Linked DNA regions of Saccharomyces cerevisiae S288C. The protein of the gene in region 4 interacts with the protein of the main gene of each other region in a biochemical or structural test. Each region holds a gene or a part of one and is shown on either strand. Other genes may lie near its edges. The genes, in order: AIP5, BNI1, BNR1 and BUD6.

Region 1 (5,763 bases), on a different chromosome or scaffold from region 4:
TTGCGGGAAGAAAAGAAGGAGTTTATGTTTATATACACCGGTGTAGGCTGTGCGTTGGTGTGAACACTTCCTGTTGCTGTTGCTGTTGAAGCCGTCTCCGCATGCAACTGTAGTCATACAGCCTCTTGTCTGCCCTTATTCAATTGACCAGCTAACAATAGCTTCGCTTTCTTTCTGAAAAATCCTCCAAGGGGTATTACTTGTGGGGGGTTCCAGGAACCCATAGGCCGGGGCATGTTTCACGGGAAGTTCTGTGGCAGGAAATGGTCCCTGAGTAGCCGCGCAGGTGGCTTTTGCCTTTGCCGTACCGATCGGGAAATTGTGCCCCTGAAAGATTCCGTTTACGGCGCTTCTGTGCAACCTCTTTGGGCAAGCTTTGCTCCTGTCAATAGAGCAATTATTTGACAAGGTTTCTTTTACCTTGTTTTATGTGGGTTAAACGTGGGAGGAGAACTATAAATCACATGTGCTGTCAAGAGATTATGTTAGTTACGTAGCGCGCTTAAGCTTTCTTAAATAGTATCGTAAATGAGTTCCCGCAATTTGTAGTCTTCGTTAGCTTCTTCTATTTCTTCCCAGTTCCCGATTAAGTCATTGTGTCCTCTGACCACACCTGGAAGACTCCTACCCTTGCTGAAAGTCTTCCAAACTTTTCTCGCTTCATCATCTGTGCCAAGATCTCTGTAGGTGAACGGGATTCGGTTGGCCGTCAGGATTGTGCTTAAGCGATTTGTTCTGGGGATCATATGGAAACCGCCTCCGGCTAGTGACGTGTATATATATACAGGTTCCTTTTCATTCAGCTTCCGGATCTCGCTAGTCGTTATTACGTCTTGTGGCTTGTCATTGTTTTTCTTGGATTGCTCAGTAGTTTGAGTTGTGGAGTCTTTCGCATCTAGTGATTGGAGTAGAGCGTTTAGTTCAGAATCATCAACAATTTTTAGTTGCTCTAAAAACTCATTCGTTTCGTCCAAAATATCTTTGAAGATGTCATCTGCACTTGCTTTCTTGGGATTTTCCCTTGTACTTTGATCTTCAAATCCATTTTCGTCATTGTTTGGGGCTTCTTTACTGATTGACTCTGTTTCATTGAAGTCTAACTGGGATACCTCCTCTTCTTCTTGCTTAATTTCATTCTTTTCCTCCGTGATGTTTTCTTCCACTACAAGATCAGGAAGAGAAGTTTCTTTCTCTGTTTCTTCTACTTCCAATTCCTTGTCTTCTCCTTTATTATCCTTTATATCTTGTTTTTCCAATTCTGGCAATTCGACTGTCCTTTGAAATTCGTCTGAAATGTTGATATCGTCGATCTCTTGATCTCCGGTGACATCTTTGAGCGCCTCAGCAATCTTAGAATTTTCCATATTCTCGTCTTCTTTTGTCACGGCTTCCGCATCCTTTTTTGAAACTTCTGCCTCCGTACATGTTCCATCCTCTATTGGAGTCTCAGCAGGTTCCGAACATTTTGTTTCGATGTCTTCTTTTGAAGTTGCAGCAACTTCCACATCTTCATTTTCTTTATTCAGTTCAGCAGTGACTTCTGCCTCTTTTGGAGCGTCAAGATTTCCAAGCTCTGCCTTTACCTTGATAAATTCAGTTTTTTCGGAATTCTCCACTTCTGCATCTTCCTCGGTGTCAACTTCCACATCTTCATTTTCTTTATTCAGTTCAGCAGTGACTTCTGCCTCTTTTGGAGCGTCAAGATTTTCAAGCTCTGCCTTTACCTTGATAAATTCAGTTTTTTCGGAATTCTCCACTTCTGCATCTTCCTCGGTGTCCTTCTTGACAGATTCGCTGCTAGGTTCTATATATTTTTCGGCAGTTCCAACATCACTTGCTTTTGAATTTTCGCTCGCAGCCTCAGTAGCTTCACCATGTTCATGATTTGTATCTTTGCCGGTGATTTTATCGCCTTCTTGTGTAATTTCAAAGCGTTTGGGTTTTTCTTCTTCTTTGAAACTAGTAGTAGATCCTACATCTCCCATATCCTTTTGTGTAGTTTCAGCTTGTTCTGTTGAAATTTGAACGCGCTGGGATTTGGGATCTTCTTCTTCGGAATTCTCAATGGTTGTTGCAATTTCTGGCTTTACATCTTCATCGGGAACTCTAACATCTTCCTTTAGAACCTCAGGATCTCTTTCGTTGATTTGAAGATCTTCTGGTCTTCCGGAGGTACAACGCTTAACTACTTTTGGAGACTCAGGAGTCTTCGATTTCTCAACCTCTACACCTTCTGCACTTTCTCTTGCTGTTTCATCAACCTCTTTTTTTGCTTTCTCGTTGGAAAGCTCAGCAGTCCCCTCTTGCTTCTTTTTCATGTCTTCACTGATAGACTCAGCACCTCTCATTGCTATTTTATCATCTTTCATGGCCTTAACAGGTTCATCCAGCTTGACTTGTTCCCCTTCTTGATCTTCTTTGGCAACCTCGAGATCTTCAGGTATTATATTTTTTTCCACAGCCTCAACAATCTCTACATCATCCCTAGGCGCGTCAGGTATATCGATTTCTCCGACAACTTCCGTAGGCTTGTTTTCCTGAGTAGGTGCTTCAGCTTCATCTTCAAGAACAAGGTTATCTTTAGAAATTTTTGCAGAGTTTGCGCTTCCCTCTATTTCAATAATGGAAGATTTTTCTCCCGCTTCTGACTGCTTTTCATCTCCCCCCATAATTTCCTCTCCTTTTGATGTAGATTCTTCTTCGGTACCGGACACTTCATTATTTCTTACAGCTTCTTGCTCCCCGGTTACATTTTCTTTTTTAACTTTTGAAAAAGTCGAATTTTCTTCTTCTTCTTCTTCTTCTTCTTCTTCTTTTTCAACTTCTACAGATATATCGTTAGTACCGTGTTGTAGATTTTTTTCATTGTCACTAATGCGCTTTGTTGGTCCCATCGTTTCGTCATCATAAGTCTCTCGCTCAGTTTCTGGAGGGATGATACTATCACTACCAGCTGCGTTAAAATTATGGCTCATGTTATTCTCATGATTAACAGATAATTCTTTCCTACATTTTTCGTCTTCTTTATCCTTCTGTTCAAAAACATGGTCTTCTTTCCCGATTTCTGTTTCTTTCTGATTTTTTGCAAGAACTGAAGGACTTATTCCGTCTCTATCACTTTCAGTCTGCTGCTTTTCCCCAGCTTTCAAATGTTTTGATTCGTTCTCTTTGAAATTAAACCCATTCTTAGTTAAACTTTCACTTTCAACATCCTTAGTAGACGCTTGCCCATTTTCATCACCTGCCTCCAAACCGTGCGGCTCTAGTTGGTGTTTAAAAGAAGCTGCATTTCCCTCATTAACATTTAAGATCTCATTCTCTTCTCGAGGTAAGGTATGTTCTGCCTTTTCCTCGTTGATATTGTTCTCGGACTTTGAGGAAGTTTCGTCAACATTATCTTTGTTAGGCACATCTATGTCGAAGGTTTTGTCACTAGATTCATTTCTGGTTCTGATATCCATTTTTTCGACATTAACAGGCTCATCTTGGACAATATTTACTTTGATATCCTCGTTCTTTGAACCATCTTCCTGTAGGTACTCTTCAATGCCTACTAGTATGGAATCTAAAGTTGACTGTTTTGACAAATCAGTAGTATCTGCAGGATTTGAAGAATTACGACCTCTTCTATTCGTGGTTTTTTTCTTTTTGTTTTTTTTTCTTCTCGTAATTGGGCTATTGCCAACCTCAATTCCTGTGGATTCTTTGATTGGTGGTACATTTTCTGTGCCTTCCGCTACATTGTTAGTAGAAGTTTCTTTGATAACTACATTGACGTCTATTGGGATCTGTGTGGGAGATTCTGTAGCGTCATTTATTGTATCTGTGGCTATCTCTATTACGTCGTCTTTTCTTTCCAAATCATGAGAGATTGCATCCCGTGTGGAAGCTTCCTCGGTTTCACCAACAGAACTGGAAAGTTTTACAATAGTATCTCTGTCACGATTCGCCTTTATTTGTCCCTGGTTTTTCTTTTTATGACCTTTCAATTTAGAAGATTTCCTTTGAGATGATAATTCCTGTGCAAAATTCTCAGTGGCATTTATCGCTTCATCTAAGTCACTTTCTGTAAGTTGATCTCGACTTTCTATAATATCATTCGTACTTGGTAAGGGAAGATCTGTAGCAAGTGTCGAATACGAATCTCCAGCACTAGTTACCGATGGGGGTTGAACATTGTGTTCCTGATTTTCTACAGTCAAAGATTCTACCATGTCACTCTTTATTTAATCCAGAGTAATCAAGCACACCAGTACAATAATTGCTAACAGGTTTAAAAAGAGAAAGTGTTCTGGAATAAAACCACTTGCTTATATGCGAAGTGACTACGAAATATTAAGGGAAAATATACGACAATTTCGTGTTCAGAAACTTAACAAATATTTTCATCTTGTCTGTTATATTCTCGGAAGCTTTAGGATAAATTTATCCTTAAAAAAAGGACTGCGCAAGCCCGGAATCGAACCGGGGGCCCAACGATGGCAACGTTGGATTTTACCACTAAACCACTTGCGCTTATTTCTTGGAAGTGTTCGTGTTCTAATAAGGTCACAACAGCTCCAACATTAACCAGAAATACCTGTAAATAGCCCCGCCACGAGGCAACAATTGTCTCTGTATTCTTATCTTTCTCAATAAGCACTTATTAGTTAGTTTACATCCGAGTTCTTGAGCACTCCCCACCTTTTTAGTAGGTCTGAAGTCTTGTTTACAACAGCGGGCACCTCAAGATTGAAAGGAGTTGAGAGTTAGAATATATAATTTTGAAATTAAATTTGAAAATGATGCGATTACCACCGGCAAGTATTCAAAACAAAATAAGACGAGGGAGCTTCATAAAAATTAGGTCGTATATGTTGAAATGAGAGGATTTAGTACATTCTGTATTCATCATATTATAGCCTTTACCAACAATGAAACTCCAGTAATTATCAAATTATTCTCCCAATTCTCACCGAACATGCGGCAACGTTAGGTACGGATCGCGGAAAACACTTTATTTTGTGCAGAGGTACTGTCATGAATACTATGTCAATAAAAAAAGTATCGCATTATCACCACGCCTATATAACATAATCTAAACTATTCGTGAGGGTACAGAAATCCATTGAAATGAATTGATAGTTCTACACGATATCGCTGTCATTTTATTGTACGTTTCAAGTTTTACTAAATAAAAATGACATCTGAAACAGATTAAGTTTTTTTGTAACTTGTGCCCGTTGAAATAGGAATTAACTGTTATAATTGACAATATTCATGTCAACACTATATAGTAATATATAATAAAGAAGGTAACTTAAATGGCGATAGGCGGTCAACAAGTCTAGGGAATCAGAAATGCAAGAATGAATAACGTAATAGGATAGCGAAGGAACATATCAAAAACAAGGGAAAAAAAAATTGGTTCTATATCTAGATATATCTAGAATTTTTGGACTGGTTTTATCTCAATTTCCACCTATCTTTATGTATTATCTTTCGACCGTCTTATCTTTTAATATGGTGGCAGGAATACCAGTCAGACAATGATTGGATCTTGTCTCGGGTTGTTTGTTATCACGTAAGCACCACAGTCCGCTCCGTAGGAAAAGAAAAATAGCCGCCGAGCCACGGGAGCAAATGAGTGAAGAATATGCGCAACGTTTTGGTACATATACAAAAAAATGTAGAAAAGAAGCTAAAGAGATTGACGTTACGTACATATGTATGAGTGGGTAGGTGTGGACGACACTAGGGAGGCTTTACTTCTCTCCAAACATG
Region 2 (7,561 bases), on a different chromosome or scaffold from region 4:
AATGCAATAGTAGAGATCATTTGAGTAAAGATGAATGTAAAGTGTATCATAAGTGATCTATAAACATTAAAATTATATATATATATGTGATTTAATGATTCGTGACTATTTCTTTGTACTAGTGCTTGTTTGGATGTTTGTTTTGGTATTACTGTTGTCATAATTTTTTGGTTTAATATTTTATTTGAAACTTAGCCTGTTACCTGTGCTAGCCTCACCTATGGATCTTTCCTTGCGGGCCCTCAATTTTTCTAGATGTTCATCGAGTATGGAATTTTGCTTTACTGGTGTGTCAGAGCCTCTTAGCTCCTTTAATAACATTCTAGCTCTGTCACTAATTTCCTCTTGATCTTCCAGCGCAGATGTCTTGGATGGCGATGGTAAATCTTCAGAGGTATTCATAACACCCCTTGTGGCAAGCGGAGTGGGTGATTCAGCGTGAATCACTGTATCGGCAGTAGGGTCCATAGCTTCTGGAGAATAAAGAATAGACCCTTCTTCAGTATCCAAATCGTTGAGTAATTGTGGAGCGTTGTCTTTTTCAGAAAGATATTTTTTCCTCACTAGGGCTCTCTTTCTGGCGGAAGATGGGTCACTTTTAGCAGGACCTGCATTTTTCAACTGTTCTAATAGTTTATCCATAACAGCGCGCCTATCTTCTGCTTCATCCTCTTCATTTCCTTCAGATGAAGGCGAATTGCTGTTCTCTTTTTGTTTTTCCTTTTCTTGTGCCCTTTTTTGCTGTTCTTCCACTATTTTCTTATGCTTTATATAAAGTCTTTCTTCTTCTTCCGCGGCTAGATTTTGCGCTTGAGCTTTTTTGTATTCATTTATAAAATCTGCAAATTTCTTAAAGAATGAGATTTTTGCAAACTTATCACCAGAATCTTCACCGTACGTATGCATCAGACTTTCAAATTCCATGATAGTCAGCTTAACTTCGTCTTCTAACAAGTCCCCCTTTTTTCTGGCTTCCGGTAACACGGGCAATGTTTTTATCAAAACTTTATCTAATGGATGAAACTTTGAGGAATCGCTTAAATTACCAATTTCAACTGAACGCTCTACGTTTACAATCGATTGGCTAAAGTCCTTACAGTCGTTAACTAACTGCTCAATGGAAACTTTCACGACATCCAATACAGGTTCTAATTCACTTAGAAAGTCATTGAAGCTTGGATAATTTAACCTGACAATTTTTTCGACGTAATTTAGAAAGGTCATGCTATTGGTAGTATCCTTGATAAACGTCAACCTCTGCAAGGTTGAAAGTTTGAAACCTTGTGCCTGCTTAGAAGTGTCGTTCATGAAATTACCAACTGCTAAGATAACATTAAAGACATTGCGCAAGTTATCTGATTCTTGAAGCGCGCTAACAGCTTTGTCGACTTTTCTTAACTTTGCCAATAACTCATTATATTCTCTTTCATACGAAGTAACCACTGTGAGAGCTCTCATACGTGAACCCCAGTATGATTCTAGATTAACCATCAATTGCAAATAAATTTGGTCAGCCCTCTGTAAATCGTTTGGATCTTTTTCAGGGGGCTTGGCATCTTCGAGATTCCTCACGCCCTCCCAGTCTGTCGAATACGGGGCGTAATTCCTAGCTAAATTAACAGAAACTTCAATTATTTCAGATTTTGACAAAAACTCAACAACACTCGGTGTTTGCAAAAAATCCCTATCGCAGTTTAGAATCTTTTTCACCAGATCGGCAACCGAAAGTGATGAATACATATGCAAATTGATACCAAACTGTTGAGAAATATCCCTGGATAAAAATGTAATTTTCTGCAGATCTTCCTTGCGCTTGCTTGCTAATGATTTAATTTCCCTAGCGGCAAAGGCCTTTTCTAAATCAGCAAGAACACCCTTTTCGTATAAGTCATCTGCGAACTTCTCAGCTTTACCTGTACCCCAAATAGAATTATCAGTACAATCTAATTTTTCCCAATGCAGTTGCTTTAATTTCTTGTGTGGACGAGGATACTTTTCAAATAATGAGGGCGATTGAGGAAGTAATGGTGATGTTACAGCTGATTTGATTTGCGATGCCGGCATCATAGGTGGAGCTGGCGGAATGACGCCATCAGTAGATGAAGATAATACAGATGGTAGCGGCGGCGGTGGTGGTGTTTCTCCCTTGGGTTTGCCGAACAATGCCATGGGTGGAGGAGGAGGTGGTGGTGGTGGAGGGGGAGGAGCAGGAGAATCCCCAGTAGTTTCTTGCTTGACAGTGTCGTCTTCCGACTTTTTCTCTTTCTCCAACGATTCACCGAACAATTTGGCGGGAACTGGAGGAGGAGGAGGAGGAGGCGGTGGCGGCTGTGAGGAGAGTACAGATGATTGAGTAGAGAGATCTTCTGCGCCATCTGTATTATTCAGTTTACTCACAGCGCTGAAATCCGCTGTTTTATCTTCTTCATGATTTACCACACGCCCTTGCTTTCCGTTTTCCACATGTTGTCTCATGTCTTTCTCAGCTTTGTCAAAGGCGGAAGCTGCACTTGCCGTGCTGTTTTCCGGTAAAGATTTTTTATCTAGACCTTCATCTTCATTTTGTTCATATGGTTCAACTTTATTTACCTTCTGTGTTAACTCCTCTAAATATGGAGCAGAAGACACGGTGGATTTTCTGAGTCTGTTCATAAAGGTCTTTTCAACTTTACTATGTAGAGGTCCAATACCCGAACCGTTATTGTTCTCTCCAAAAGCAGCCGATGCAGTAACATTTTGACCAGTACCATATTTTTGAGATAAGGCATCGAGAAAAGACCCAGGACCTGATCCTGAAGATAGCTCTGAGTGTTCGCTCCTTAGTTCTTGAGTTGGAGATGCGTCTTGGTATATTTCCTCACTTTCATCATCAGAACTTGAAGAGGAAAGATCGCTTTCCCCATCTTCTTCTACTTGTATTTCGTGTTCGGTTTGAGTCTGAATATCTAACAACTGGTCCGTTATTCTATTAATCTCGTCTAACTTTTTCTGATATGTCTTAGGGTCAAGACTGGCATAGTTAGCGTCTTCTTCCGTTTCCACGTCCCCAGTATTTTTCTTTGGACTGTCCATAATCTCGTCGACATTAAAGTCAATACCAAATCCTTTGTATTTTGTTTCTAGTTCTTTCAGTCTCTTTAAAGCCAGAGATTTCTTTTCATTAAATAGCTCATTAACACGTTCTTCGACGTTAAATTTGGAAATATCATTACTTTCCATTTGGATTTCAGCCAAAGCCCGCCTTAGGTCATTTAGTTTATTTACGTCCGCCTCTTGAGGCTTGACTAAAGGTTTCCTATCCTTATTTTTCATCTTCTTCACTTTGGGCTTCTTAATATGTATTGGAGGTTCAAGACGATCTTTCTCAAATTCAGCAAAATTTGTCATCTCTAGTTGCCTGGCTTCATTTTCAATATTTTCCATTTGCATTCTTAACATTTTTAATCTCTTATTAGGTTGAAGTGTCATGCCGAATTTTTTTGAATCATCCTTGTAATCCTTTTTTGCTCTTGATAATCCGTCCTGTAACACCTTTTGGATATTCGCTTTCTCTGAAGAATTTAGGCTCGAGTTCATACCTCTGGTGCCTTCATTCTTATTGAAGCTTTCTTCAGGCCTCGAATTCAATATAGTCAACATTTTTCTCAATTCTACCTCTTGCTGATGCTTTTCCAAAAGATGCTTCTTTTTCAACTCTTCTAACTCAGCTTCCAGCTGCTGCATAACTCTCTGATTCTTAGCTAAAATACGATCTCTCTCATGCAACTCATCTTCTAACTGTCCAACGAGTCCGTGCTCCGCCTTGCTTAACTTTTCACTTAAAGAATCCCTTTCTGCCTGAATTTCTTCCAATTTCTTCGTTAGAGCTCTACTTTCTAATATAGCTCGACGTGCAACTTCATCAGTCTGCATGGCATCGTAAAGCCGCTGGATAGCCATATTCATATTAGTTTCTTCATCAGAAGTTGAGGCAACACTAACATTAGTCACCAAAGAATCCATAAGTTTCAATTGCTTAGTAAGTTTAGAGGAATTTTGGTTTTCTTCTATTAACTTTGAACTAGAAAGGAAAAGATGTTGAACTAAAGATACTAAAAGCTTTTCATTCTCGGTACCTTTACATATATCCCAAAGGTTTTTTAATAATGATAGTGGATCGTGTAAATCTACATTAAAAGCCTTATTGTTGGCCTCTAATTTAACGTTAAAATCGTCAAGTTTATTATTGTCATATAACTCAATTTGGTCAATTACCTTGTCGTAATCTAGCAGTTTTATTTTGTTCATAATTCGTAAAATTCCACAATTTTCTAGTTTCGTCCTTAATAGCATTCTTTGATTTATGTTATCAGAGCAAGAGCATAAATGATTGATAAAAACCATTGTCCATTGGCAGTATTCTAGAATCGCATTTTCACCCCCACCATTTTTAAATTCATCCGACGCGCCTACTAAGGAACCCATTTTTCCTCTTCCATCTAAAGTTTGTTCAACGGCAAATAACCAGGCTTGAATAATTTTCAAATGACTTTCCAAGGTTAAATGAGAGAAATACTGGGGCATTTTTTTGAAGTTTTGAATCATATGAAGATTTTGCCCTATCCTAAACTTTTTATCTAGTGAGGTAAGAACTGCTTCGAATCTGCTTTTATTTTTTTTTTCTAGCATACAAACAAAAATTTCAGTGGCCATTTTCCTTGTGGCCAGTTTCGTAGAGAATAAACCTTCTGCAACAGTATCAGTCATTAACCTATGTGTACTGAACTCATACAAACCTTGTGAGAGCATTGATAAGACTCTGAAGCATTTAAAAAATGAATTTTCTTTCTCTAATAATTCTTTAGTCAAGTTTTCTCGGGGTGCAGTCTTATAAATAGAGTTCATTAGTACATTAGCCATAGCAATGTGACCCTGATGGTCTATAAAAGCGTCTACCCAGTCTAACTGTTCAGTTCTTAAAGTTACCCATAAATCTTTCATCTCATCGCTAGTAAGTTTGTCTGCCAGGATTCGTTGCACATAATGTATCGGTGGTCTGTTTGTTCTGTCTCCTGGAAGAGTAGATGCACTCGTATTGTTCTCAGCCCCACCTCTATAAATATTGTTTAGAGATGGCTGCTTTTTCAAACTCCCGCTCACTAATTTTTTCCCCTTCGAGGTTGACGTACCTACCGATGAAAGAGTAGTAGAATGATTTAAACTGTTGCTGTATACAGTTGAGGTGGGAGAAGAGGCGCTTGTCATCAAAACAGATTTGGGAGACGAAAGAGATGAATTAGCCGTAAGGATAGGATGATGGTCCGACGCCATCGAAGTTCTGGAGGCAGTGGAAGAAGATGTAGTGTTTGCTCGCATTTTTTTTAGCTCATTTTGTAAATCCTGCTTAACAATCAGCCATTTCTTCTCAATGCTGTAGCCCATCAGAGCTTCTTGTTTGTCCTCTGATAAAGACTGAAAAATATTTCTTTTATACATAATATCTTCAAACAAAACTTCCACCTCGTATGGGTCCGACGGCATTTCTAAATAAATTTTACCATCGGGTGTAGTGAATTTGCTCAAGTTAGTTAGCGAACCTTGAGAGAGAAGACTTGATGCGGAGTGACTTTGCCCGGTATGCTGCCTTGTTAGCTTATTGGACGCCTGTGAAGAATTCCTCTTGGAATACGAATATTTCGATTGCATTGAATGCGACCTTGCGTGCTGTGAGGATACGGGAACATCTCCACTTAATTTACCATTCATATATTGAGACAAGTTTTGTGTGTTTAATGTCGATTTTTTATTCAACGGCCTCGCCTCAGTAGATGTAGACCTAGAAGGTGCATTCAGTTTTCTAAAAGATGACGAAGATGCAGGTGAAGTGGACACTTCGTTTCCCACTGGAGAGTGCTGTTGTTGGGATGCATAGGTCGGAGAACCCGTATTGCTATTCGTTGCATTTGAGTTAGCCAAACGCTTCAAATTTTGGAATATACCAGAACTCGAATTCGAATGACTTTCCTTTGAGTTCGAATGTTTGGAGCCTGAATTCTTCAACATTTCCTTTCCTTCTCTTCCTTTCTTGCTTCTCGTTTGTTGAAAAGGTTCAGGTGCCTTCTTTATGTGGCGTGTATTTAGAATTTAACTAGGCTTGAGTTAAAATGTTTCTCCTCAATACAGAAGATAGATACAAATGGCAAAAAAAAAAGTAAAAAATGGCCCAACTGTATGAGACGTATAAAAAACGTGAAGGGTGAAGAAAAGAATGCCACTGTCCAATTTTATGCTTAATACGAAAATAATTAACACACAGCCGTCAGTGTCCTCTTATCTGTAGGAAGGGTCCGTGCTATTGTTCTTAAAAGGGATTCTAGTTTTCCACATCTGTTTTTTCTTTCTTTCCCTCTTCCACGTCAAAAACTTCCTCTAACCGATGTCGGGTAAGCCATGGAAATTACGGGCGATGACTTTCGGCGGCTAACAACGAAACAACTAGGGAGTAATCATATAATCACAGGAAAAGAGTTGAGCAAGGATTTGGCAAATATACATATACATACATACATACATACATACATATATATGTGTGTGTGTGGTATGGAGTATTATTCTAAAATTATGAAAGGACATCCCAAACTCGTTGCCACCTTGTTTTACATTCTGGCTCTATCCATACCAACTCCTCTATTTGCCGGCGGTCAGAATCGATATCGATATCCTGCAGCTTCCAGAGTAAGCGGCACTTAAACCAAACTTGGAATGATAACCATATGGCCAAAAATAGGAATATTGATATATATGCAGCGACAAAGTCTATAGGCTGAAAAGTAGGTGCGAAAGCGGTGAAGCCCTGGATCAGAACAATTAGAGCGATGAAAAAAGATGCATAATATGCCAAAAAAGGCATCATTTGAGCTTTATAAGGTAAGTCATCCCTCGATATACCACGTTTCCTTATGGCTTGCATGAAACGGATATGAGAAAATGAAATCAAAAGCCAGGCAAAGAAACCGGCCACACCAGTTATGTTCAATAACCAGTTAAAGGCCTTGCCGCTGCCTGCAGAAACCTCTAAGAAAGCCAAAAATCCGAACACGGATGTAGATAGAACAGAAAAGTATGGAACACCACCTCTGGTCACGTTAGACAAGAACCTTGGCGCCAAGCTATTTTTAGACAGACTATACAGTACTCTTGAGCCAATGTACACATTAGAGTTACCTGCGGAAAGAATGGTGATTAGCACGACCGCGTTAAATATATCTGGGAGAACTTTTGTGCCTGAATTCTCAATGCTTATCATAAAGGGCGATGAAGAGACAAATATACCGTCACTATCCAACTTTGGGTCATTATATGGGACCAAAAGGCCAATGAAAAATAGTGAAAGAATGTAAAAGACTAGAATCCTCACTACAACTTTCTTTATTGCCCTCGGGAGAGCTTTTCTTGGGTTAGCCGCTTCACCAGCGGTTATCCCAACCAGTTCAGTACCTTGGTACGTAAATGCAGCATTAATCAAAGAGGAAACCCATCCGAGAAAACGGCCCTCATTTTTATCACTGGAGATAATGCCAGG
Region 3 (6,568 bases), on a different chromosome or scaffold from region 4:
TTTTTCTTGGCAGGGTTTAAGATCCTGGTTTGCTTCCTTTTCGTTTATCGTGGAAGCTTCACTTGAGCTGTTAATTTCGGCTTTAAAACCATCATATACCGACACTGCCACTTCTTCCATTACCATCTTCTCCAAATCAGCATCTCTAATCTCTTCTTTTTTGTAACGTCGTTGTAATTTACACCAAAATATCAGGGCTATTATTACGCCCACAGCAATTGGAATCCCAACTGCCGTTCCCACTGCCACAGACACATTGCCCATCTTTATTCAATAGTCTGTTTTGATGATTGAAAAGTAGATTGTTTTGAGCTAAAAATTCGATGCTTTCTGTGCTTATTTTGAAATTTATTAATGAATCTGTCCATCTCCAAATCTTAGTTCTTAACTAGGAAATTTGTCAACACGACCACCGCCCGAAAAGGGAAAATATTTCCCTTTTGAGAAGCGATTGCGAATATTGTCCATTTCTTTATATAAGCTCCACAACTACATAAAATACTAAGTCTTCACTATATATTTTGAATATCGTTCAGCATAGCATGCGTTCTCTCTAGTAAAACGTGATCTTCATCCTTTCTCGTTTTTACATCTCCTTCATGTACGTTAATGGCTATTTCATTGAGTTTTGTACTCTTTCTTCTTCTTAGAGGTTCTGGATCCTTCTTTACTTCGCGTAATTTAGATATGAGTAGATCAACAGCATCCCTGTTTACTTTTTCACCATCGTTTTCATCACTTCCATTGCTTTTCTTATTACTGCTTGTCCTCATATCTAACAAGCTCTTCCTTTGTTCGTACACTCTTTCCATTTCCTCCTTTTCAATGTTTTCCTTGGCACATTTCTTAAACATGGCTAAAAATTCAATAAAGGGTTGGAAAAATTCGTTTTTACTCTCTTTATCTTTGGGATCTTCACCGTAATATTTCATCAGTTTATTCAAATCTATTAAAGTTAATTTACATTGACCAATCAATAATTCACTTTTTGTTTTGGCCCGATTAATCTTAAACTTGACCTTTTTAATAATTTGATCTCTGGGGTCTAAGTTCTCCTCTTTGGATAGCTTTCCTACTTGAAACTGAGTAACTAAATCCTCAATTTTTTTATGAAATTCATGACACTCTGATTCAACGTGTTCTAGTGAGATTTTACCTAAATCTTCAATGTTCTTCAAATCATCCACAAAACCGTATATATCAGGATATTTTATTCTTATGACTTTTTCAATAAAATGCAAAAATGATACATTTTGATCAATACTGGATCTGACAAAGGCAAGTTTAGTCAATGACTTCAATTTGATACCCTTAACAATTCTTTTATTCATATGATTGCCTATTTCCGTGATAATAAACATCAAACTTTTAAATTTAGGTGAACGATTTAAGTGTGAAATTGCATCATCAATTTTTTGTAACTTGAAAATCAAATCGTAATAATCTCTCTCGTATGTTGACAATGTCAGCAGACTCTTTGATCTTGCATTCCAATAAAATCTTAAATTGATACACAACTCCAAAAATATTCTGTCAGCTCTTTGTAAGTCACTTACTGCTTTACCATCCTTACCCTGTGAATATGGCTCGTACTTATTAAGCATACTTTTTGGTATATTTACTAACTCTTCTTTACAAAAAAATTTCAGTATGTTAACATTTTGGACAATGTCGTTATCACAGTTCAATACTTTCATAACAAATTCCATATCAGATAATTGGGAAAACATGTGTAAATTAATACCAAATTGCTGAGCCAAATCTCTTGATAAGAATGAAATTTTCTTCAGCTCATTGGAAGACTTGCCATTGTTTGAAGACAAGGCAATTGAGGATTCTGCGTTCCTTTTATTTGCAATCTTAGTCGGACTTTTCATCTTAAAAATATCTTCAATCTGAGAGAATATACCATCAGTTTGTAATTCTTTGATTGTTTCTTGGCGTTGAAACGTGTCTTCCCAAAGTGTGTCTTTGATATCCTCCACCTTATCCCAGTGGATTTGCTTCAATCGCTTTTCAGTTGGAGGTGGTTTTAAATCGGTTGTCGTTGGATTGATAGACACTGAGGAGGAAGAAAGAAGACCATTTGGTAAAGGTGGAGCTGGAGGAGTAACTAAATCGTGATTGGAGGGGCCTTTGTTCATCGACAAGGACTCGGGTAAAGGCGGTGGCGGTGGTGGTGGTGGAACGGCGCCACAAGTTTTAGTTTTAAATAGATCTGGAAGGGGTGGCGGTGCAGGTGCTGCAATACAGGAAACACCATCCGGTTTAGCTTCTGCTTCAGTCAAAAGAGACTGTGGAAGTGGAGGAGGGGGAGGTGGAGGAGGGGGCGGTGGAAGTTGAGGTAGTTTAACAACTTCAGGTACTAGTTGGATTCCATTATCAAGACTATCTGAGGAAAGTCGAGGGAAAAGTTTTGGTGAAGAAGAAACCGAAGACAACACGGGAGACGATTGGTAATTAGGTTGTGTTCCTAGGCTATTTGAAAATTCCAACTCTGAAAGTATCGAATTTAGAGAGACATTTTGCATATTAGTAATATTTTTCATAGAAGGGATATTAAAATTAATGGTTGACGTAGATCTTTGAAATAATGAGTCTTTTGATTTATCTTCGGATTCATTTTGGGACTCATTTTCGTTATTTGCATCAGTTAAATATGATGAAAGGGACGTAACTCTTTTACTTTTTAGTAGACTAGTTGAACGCTTGGGCAGAGAAATTTTTTGCTGCTGCTGTTGCTTTTTTGCTAAATTTTGGAAAATGATATTTCCATGACTATTATTTTTTATTATCGAGCCGGCAATACTCAAGTTGCTACTTGCCAATGAAGGTGGCTGGTCATATAACCTTTGATGCGTGGTAATTTGGTCTAGTCTTTTCTTGGTTGCCTTCAACTGCAGTTTCAGATTTTCAATTTCCTTGGTTTTCAGAGATATCAAAGATTCACTTTCATCTAGTTTTGCTATTAAATGATCTTTATCATGATTTTCTACTAAATTTAATTTTTCATTCAAATGAGAAATCTTAGCATTAAGATCATCAATTTCTGTGACCGCTCTTCTAGCAATTTCATCAGATTGTAGAGAATCCAACAATTTATTAACAGAATCTTGAAAAACATAATCCACATTTTCTGCGGACTCCAAGGTTTCATCAAAAGAAGGATTCGTTGACACTTGAAAGGAATCTATGAGATAAAACAGCAAAGAATTTATCAATTTTAATAGTTTAATAGATTCTGAGTATGGTTTTTGAGAGTCTAAGATTTTCCACAGCGATTGAATAATCTCGTTTATTGGTGCCTCTACGGGACTATCTTTTGCCTTCAATAACAGGCAATTTTCAAGACATAGAGGCTCGCTTTCTATTCTTGCGATATCTTTTGTTGGGTGAAGCGAATTCGTATCGTTGGTAGTTTTTATCATCGAGTCAAATATCGCAGATTCTTTGGATTTGAATTGTTTTATTTGTTCCATGATCACGACACTATTAGGATCATCTTTATAGGCCAGTTCTAAAAATGTGATAGTGTTATGTATATTATTCTTTTTCAAAAAATTCAAAATTTCTAGTGCAGTCTTGTTGTTGAAACCTTGCAGTATGGAGTTTATTAGCAGTAGGAAAGTTGTCGAATAGTCTATTTTTAATTGGTTCCAGTTCAAATAAAGGGATGAATGAATTGCAATATCATCCGCAAGGATTTTGTCAAACCATTCTAGCCAATCGGTGAATAATATGGAAAGCTGGTCCCATATCAACTCACAACCCGTGGAACCCTCAACATACGTTAATAATAAAAGTAACTCCATAGAAAGTAACTGACATTTCAAATTAGAATTTTGATCCGTCAGAAGCTCGGTGAACCAGCGAATTAAAGGCTCAGAATGTAGTGCTCTTATTCTCGCCAGTGGGTTGTTCATCAGTATTTTAAAGCACCGAAGATAAACAAATTGTAATTCCTTGGATATGAGTGGCAAAGTCTTTTCGATCAATGTCGTCAAGTAAATTTCATCCTTGAGAAAAAGTTGCAAAAAGCTTTGCTTTCGCAGGAATTTTTCTAGTTTATATAGAGCCTTCGATAACTTCATGCCACCTGTTGAAAGGTTTCTAACTAGGCCATCCAAAAAGTGTGCGTTTTCAGCTAGTTCATTAGTGGCCAAATGTGTAGAGTATGTCGTGCTCGAAGTCACTTTCTTTTTCCCCCAATGATTGGAACTACGGATTTTACATATCAATAACCATTTCCTTCGTAGAGAGATGTTTTGTAAATTCTTATAAGCAGCCCCCCAAAAAAAAGTTCCATCTTTTAAAAGCTCATCAAACATTCTTTCGACGAGTGATGCGTCCTGAGGCATGCACTTCGGATTAAAATCCATTTCCGATCCGTTCACTTCTTCGGAAACCATTGGTGACGAAGAAACGTCATTAGCTGAGAAATTCTTCTGTTTCATGTATATATGTGATCCTGTACCTTGTTTCTCTAACGCTACACCGACCAACTGCAAGCCAGCGGCAACCAGCCCATCGTTCAAATTCAATTCTTCCAATTTACGGGCTTCGCTGACCCTATCACGCGCGTGAAGTGACAGCGATCTGCGAGGGTAGCGGTACGTCTTCTTGTTCGGGGAAGAGTCCATCGCTGATGATTGTGCTATTTTTTTATCTGCTTTTGTGTCACGATCATCATCACTATGTAATCTTCAAAAGATCAAGAATTTGCTAGTTTTGAACCTATGCCACAAATAGCGAAAAAAGAAAAAAAACTTGACGCGTCAACATGAGGAGGGTAATGATGTGGTAGCGCCGTGTAAGGCGCTATCAAAGGGAAACGGGGATAATAGTATTAACACCGCAGCTTTTTTTTCCTTTCTCCCTCTATTGGTTTCAAATTTATTGGAGTTTTACTAGAAAGAAGAGATATAAATAGGGTATACTTTTGCATCTCAGTTCTATTGAAATCGAATGGTTATTTCTTGTGGCTCTGAGTACAGAGTGAATATAACACTACATAAAAGCAATGTCTCAAAGACTACAAAGTATCAAGGATCATTTGGTGGAGAGCGCCATGGGTAAGGGTGAATCGAAGAGGAAGAACTCGTTGCTGGAGAAAAGACCCGAAGATGTAGTTATTGTGGCTGCTAACAGGTCTGCCATCGGTAAAGGTTTTAAAGGTGCCTTCAAAGATGTAAACACAGACTACTTATTATACAACTTTCTCAATGAGTTCATCGGGAGGTTTCCGGAACCTTTGAGGGCTGATTTGAACTTAATCGAAGAAGTTGCCTGTGGAAATGTTCTCAATGTTGGAGCCGGTGCTACAGAACACAGGGCTGCATGCTTGGCAAGTGGGATTCCCTACTCGACGCCATTTGTCGCTTTAAACAGACAATGTTCTTCAGGTTTAACGGCGGTGAACGATATTGCCAACAAGATTAAGGTTGGGCAAATTGATATTGGTTTGGCGCTGGGAGTGGAATCAATGACCAATAACTACAAAAACGTCAATCCCTTGGGCATGATCTCCTCTGAAGAGCTGCAAAAAAACCGAGAAGCGAAGAAATGTCTAATACCAATGGGCATTACTAATGAGAATGTTGCCGCTAATTTCAAGATCAGTAGAAAGGATCAAGACGAGTTCGCTGCGAATTCATATCAAAAAGCTTACAAGGCGAAAAATGAGGGGCTTTTCGAAGATGAAATTTTACCTATAAAATTACCAGATGGCTCAATTTGCCAGTCGGACGAAGGGCCACGCCCTAACGTCACTGCGGAGTCGCTTTCAAGCATCAGGCCTGCCTTTATCAAAGACAGAGGAACCACAACTGCGGGCAATGCATCCCAGGTCTCCGATGGTGTGGCAGGTGTCTTGTTAGCCCGCAGGTCCGTAGCCAACCAGTTAAATCTGCCTGTGCTAGGTCGCTACATCGATTTTCAAACAGTGGGGGTTCCCCCTGAAATCATGGGTGTGGGCCCTGCATACGCCATACCAAAAGTCCTGGAAGCTACTGGCTTGCAAGTCCAAGATATCGATATTTTTGAAATAAATGAAGCATTCGCGGCCCAAGCATTATACTGCATCCATAAACTGGGCATCGATTTGAATAAAGTAAATCCAAGAGGTGGTGCAATCGCGTTAGGCCATCCCTTGGGTTGTACTGGCGCAAGGCAAGTAGCTACCATACTAAGAGAACTGAAAAAGGATCAAATCGGGGTTGTTAGTATGTGTATCGGTACTGGTATGGGTGCCGCCGCCATCTTTATTAAAGAATAGTTTTAATACTTGATAATAGTTAATATTCTCCCTTTTTATTATGCTCATATTTATATGGTTTTGTAAAAGCTATTACGTAGTTTATCAATTTGTTTATAATTTTCCATTTTCAATATTTCTAACTCACTAACCAAATAGTTTATTTGAGATAATATCCTCCAGTCCTCCTTAACCAATTGACGGGCTTTCCAGTTGAAATTCGCTATCACGGTGTCCATGTAAGAGGAAACTTCTTCATTACTTTTCATCGTTAGTTTTATTGGGGCCTTTGGATAATCCAAAGGTATGTTGAAT
Region 4 (4,463 bases):
TTTGTACTTATATCTTCTCACTCTCTTACTTTTTGTATTCAAAAAGTTGGCATCATTGGTTGCTTTAATTCTTTTAGGTTTAACCAACATCTTGTCAATTATACCATCGTTATGCTCTTCAGCAGCATCTAGGGAAATTACACTTTGATTATCTTCGGCAGATATATTGTATTGCTCACTAAATCCGCTATCTGAATGCCGTGAATTCAAATAAATAATAGGCTGGTCTTTATAAGACACATGTGATATGCAGCTCCCCGGTCCGTCATATTCCAGCTCATACACTGGTTCATTGCGGTATTCCTCATTTAAATTAAAACCAGAAGTTCCAGCCGATTGTGCGTCTTCACTATACTTGCTCTCATAATATTCTTGCAATTCCTTTAATTCCTTTTCGTTAGCCTCACGATCCTCTGGAAGATTTCCTAAGTATATATCTGGAGGGGCGTTTTCCTCGATATCCAGTTCGTCATCAGGTGCAATAAGATCGTTCAATAAGTTCTGTTCTTCATCTTCAATATGGGCGCTTCTGTTCATTTTCCTCTTAGCCACACCCTTATGGTTCAATAATTGAGTTTTTCTTTTCGTGACTTTTGAAGACTGCTGCTTTTGCAACGACTTTTCCCAAGCAACTCTTGGCAGGACCCCACGGTAACCAGTTCTTACATTCAATACTCTTCCTCTAAATATTACTTCGTCATTTTGAGTATTCTGTAAATTTGTACTAGCCAAGTCTTGTTCATCTTCCGTAGAATCACCTGATTGAAATACTATATCCTGGTCGAGGTCTTTAAAAGTACGATGCCTTTTCTTTGGTATTTCTTCATCACTATCATATCTTTGAGATTGAACCGAGCTGTTTTCGGGTTTAATGGAGTCGATTGTAACATCTTTCTGCTCATCTAAGGGTTTACCAGTTCTCTTTGTAAGTAAAATATCATTTGAGTGAATCACTGTAGAAGCGTTCTTCGGTAAGGTCAACTGATTCGAAATGCTGTCAAAACTAGAGATATCATAGCCCTCTAGCAACTGCCTATGCTTTATGCGTTCTAAACTGTATGGCATCTTTTGAATAGCCTTCCTCTTCCTCAAAGACCACCGAAGCCCCGTAGTAACTTGTGTATCAGTTACTACGGAAGGAGTACAAGATTCTCCAGCAGTGGAATCCAGGCTCAACCTCTCAGTGACAATTTTCTGTGATCTGCTTGCTTCTTGGACGTTTTCCTCTGCCCATAAATAATTTTCATTGAATTCGGGTTCGTATATGATACTAATTTCCTCATCAGTGGCCTCAGAATCTGATATCACAATAGGATTCGGTTCATCAACATCCATAAGCTTATCTGCTGACGCTACCACTAAACTTCAAATCTACAATCCTATCTTTTATTCTTTCACTTCTTGAATTTAATTTTACACGCAGATGCGCTTTACTCTTTGAAGATATCTCGCTAGCCGAGCTGAACGAATTTTATCCTACTATTATGCATTCTTGAGATAATGGCATCAAAACAAACCCAAGAAAAGGGAAAAAGAGTAGAAGCTGGCTGCCAAATTGGTGTAGTAATCCTCGTATTATTTTAAAATTAGATGAAGATGGCCGTGGATGACCCTACGTATGGCACCCCAAAGATTAAAAGAACTGCTTCTAGCAGTAGTAGTATTGAAACGACAGTAACAAAGTTGCTGATGTCCACCAAGCACCTCCTCCAGGTCTTAACACAATGGTCTAAGGGGACAACCTCTGGAAGATTAGTATCTGATGCATACGTTCAGTTGGGCAATGACTTCAAAGTCGTATCGAAATTCTTCATGCATGCGAAAGTTGACATGTCAGATGTTGGTGATGTGCCAATGGCTTTAAGACGTGTATTGGAAGTGACATTGAGGGAACCACCATCTGATGAAACTTTAAATAAACATCTGCCAAAAATCAGAGAGATTATAGTGACACTTTTAGACAAACTAAAGGTTAAACAAGCAATTTTGAAGAATATGCAGCAAGAGCATCGGATAAGTGTAAAATCACATCATCAACAAAACCCTTCCTTTACTAGTAACCTTTCATTGGGTAGTGAAGGGACCCGTGAGGGGACTCCATTAAGTAGCAGAAAAAGCAGTATTGTACGTGATCAGAGGCAAAGCGATTCAGTCGAAAACAGCTATGGGGAAAAAGTGAATTCTACTTCTACGGGAACACCCTCTGCTCAGTCAGCAGAGGCAACATTGACAAAACCAAGAACTAATATTAAACAAAACCTTAAATCTAACAATGCTCCAAACGCATCTGATGATGATGATGCACTTTCACAATTGAAGAAGGGAACTAATTTACAAAGGAGAGCCTCAAAGAGATACTCTGCCTACCATATGGCTAAATTGACAAATCAGTCTACAACAGAAGCTGCTGCGGCTGCCGGCCTCATGACAACTCCTTCACCCTCGATGTTGCATCTAGAGGAAACCGTAAGAAAGTCAAAGTTATACGGAAATAACAACAATGATGATGATAGAAACATTAATTCAGCTGAAAATAAGGGTAAAAGCATTGACGATGTATCAAAGGCGAGTCCATTGGCGAAAACGCCATTGCCTATTGAGAATGTTCGTGCATCTCCACGAAGATTATCAAGCGTTGTTACAACTTCGCCAGATAAAGCCATGAATGGAACTTGTCCAGTATTTTTAAGGATAGGAGACAAAACAAAGAAGTGTCATGTGCAACTGCCTACTACAAAAAACGCATTAAGGCTCCTATTTATTGAGCGCTTTGCGTATTCTCCTGGAGCAAATTCCTTCCCAGACATATATATTATGGATCCTCAATATGGAGTATTCTATGAATTAGAGGAACTAAATCTTCTCGATATTAAAGAAGGGTTTGTTATCGAGCTAAAGCTCGAAGAGAATCCAAATAATACGATCAAGGAATTCATTGACACAGTTAAGATGGAGATATCGAATAGTCAGAATGATATAATAAGACATTTAAAAGAAATGAGTTTTGGTTCTGCAATTAGCGGCAAGCAAACGGAAGTTTTACCACAACCTGGCCTTGAAGCTAACAAACACGATCTTGTGGGGCAAAACAAAAAAGATGATGATAAAACGATCAAAGATATTCAGTACGAATTGGGGAAAATAAAACAAGTGCATAATATTAATAGGTCAAATATTAATGAGACTATTTTCAACATTTTACGAAAGGTCGATAACTTTAAGTCTTTATCATTTTCTGCCAAAAACTCTTCCAACAGAATGTACATGGAAAAATCACAGACCGAACTCGGTGATTTATCCGATACTCTGCTAAGTAAAGTAGATGATTTGCAAGATGTAATCGAAATTATGAGGAAAGACGTTGCTGAGCGTAGGTCTCAGCCCGCTAAAAAGAAGCTAGAAACCGTATCCAAGGATTTAGAAAATGCCCAAGCAGATGTACTTAAACTACAGGAGTTTATTGATACTGAAAAACCACATTGGAAAAAAACTTGGGAAGCTGAGCTCGATAAGGTCTGTGAAGAACAACAGTTTCTCACGTTGCAGGAAGAGTTGATTTTAGATTTGAAGGAAGACTTGGGTAAGGCATTAGAAACTTTCGATCTTATTAAGTTATGTTGTGAAGAACAAGAAAAAAACCCTTCGAGATCAAAAAGTAATCCTATTTTGCCTATTATGAGACCGGGCACATTTAATCAGGTAAGGGAGCAAGTTATGGTGGCCGTCCAATCTTTAAACCCTGACCACGATAGTAGGGTCGAAGCTATTGACAAGGCTGAGAAGATGTGGGAGATGGAAAGAAAACTTAAAGCTAGTAATGAATTTGATGATGAACTGGAAAATTTTGTGGGTAATTCAAACCTGAAAAAATCGGGAGGCTTTGAAGAAGTAGAAAGGATAAGAAAGCAGAAGGATGAAGCAAATTTGAGAGCATATTTTGGGCCGGGGTTTACTTAAATACACTAATTTTATGAAAGCTAACGGAAAAGAGATTAGTGCTTTTGGCTTATTACAAAGTTTGCGGCAATATTTTCCTTATCAGCATCATAAGCTGTCAGTATTTCATGTATTATTAGTACTAATTAACTATATGTATATATATATATATATATGCTTGCAAGTGTTGAATTTCCTTTCTCAAAAGAATGATATTATCTTTAAATTTTGATGTGTTTGAAGATAGGCTTTCCAAAAATCCATTCAATATGGTGAATCGTACCTCATACTCGATTAAAGGATCACATTTCGTAATTGGACAACCGCTGACTGTCATTTCAATGATGCGTTGTAAGAACGAATGAAATTGCATATTTTGCGTAACATTAATTGATAGATCCTTAAAAGCAGATTTATAACATTCCGAAATGTTCTTTACAACATGATCAATTTGCATGAGAACGGTGTTTGTTGAATTTAAATTTGTGTCAATTGTTTTATAAGAGATTCTAGTGTTAAACAGCGCT

The links.
Region 1: the proteins of BUD6 (region 4) and AIP5 form a complex in vitro, tested with the Saccharomyces cerevisiae proteins (2 studies listed by BioGRID).
Region 2: the proteins of BUD6 (region 4) and BNI1 form a complex in vitro, tested with the Saccharomyces cerevisiae proteins (5 studies listed by BioGRID).
Region 3: the proteins of BUD6 (region 4) and BNR1 form a complex in vitro, tested with the Saccharomyces cerevisiae proteins (3 studies listed by BioGRID).

What each region holds. Positions count from the first base shown.
Region 1 is NC_001138.5:176,530-182,292, forward strand, and holds AIP5 (Aip5p), read right to left. Parts: upstream 4,215-5,763; coding exon 513-4,214; downstream 1-512. Other genes in the region: IGD1 (Igd1p), read right to left, coding at 5,745-5,763.
Region 2 is NC_001146.8:129,342-136,902, forward strand, and holds BNI1 (formin BNI1), read right to left. Parts: upstream 6,043-7,561; coding exon 181-6,042; downstream 1-180. Other genes in the region: arginine permease ALP1, read right to left, coding at 6,599-7,561. UniProt on the Saccharomyces cerevisiae protein: Required for the assembly of F-actin structures, such as actin cables and stress fibers. Nucleates actin filaments. Binds to the barbed end of the actin filament and acts as a leaky capper, slowing both polymerization and depolymerization.
Region 3 is NC_001141.2:39,897-46,464, reverse strand, and holds BNR1 (formin BNR1), read right to left. Parts: upstream 4,641-6,568; coding exon 513-4,640; downstream 1-512. Other genes in the region: AIM20 (Aim20p), read right to left, coding at 1-264; POT1 (acetyl-CoA C-acyltransferase), read left to right, coding at 5,021-6,274; SMU2 (Smu2p), read right to left, coding at 6,325-6,568. UniProt on the Saccharomyces cerevisiae protein: May organize microtubules by mediating spindle positioning and movement in the budding process. Potential target of the RHO family members.
Region 4 is NC_001144.5:768,812-773,274, reverse strand, and holds BUD6 (formin-mediated actin nucleation enhancer), read left to right. Parts: upstream 1-1,590; coding exon 1,591-3,957; downstream 3,958-4,463. Other genes in the region: MMS22 (Mms22p), read right to left, coding at 1-1,335; EST2 (telomerase reverse transcriptase), read right to left, coding at 4,079-4,463.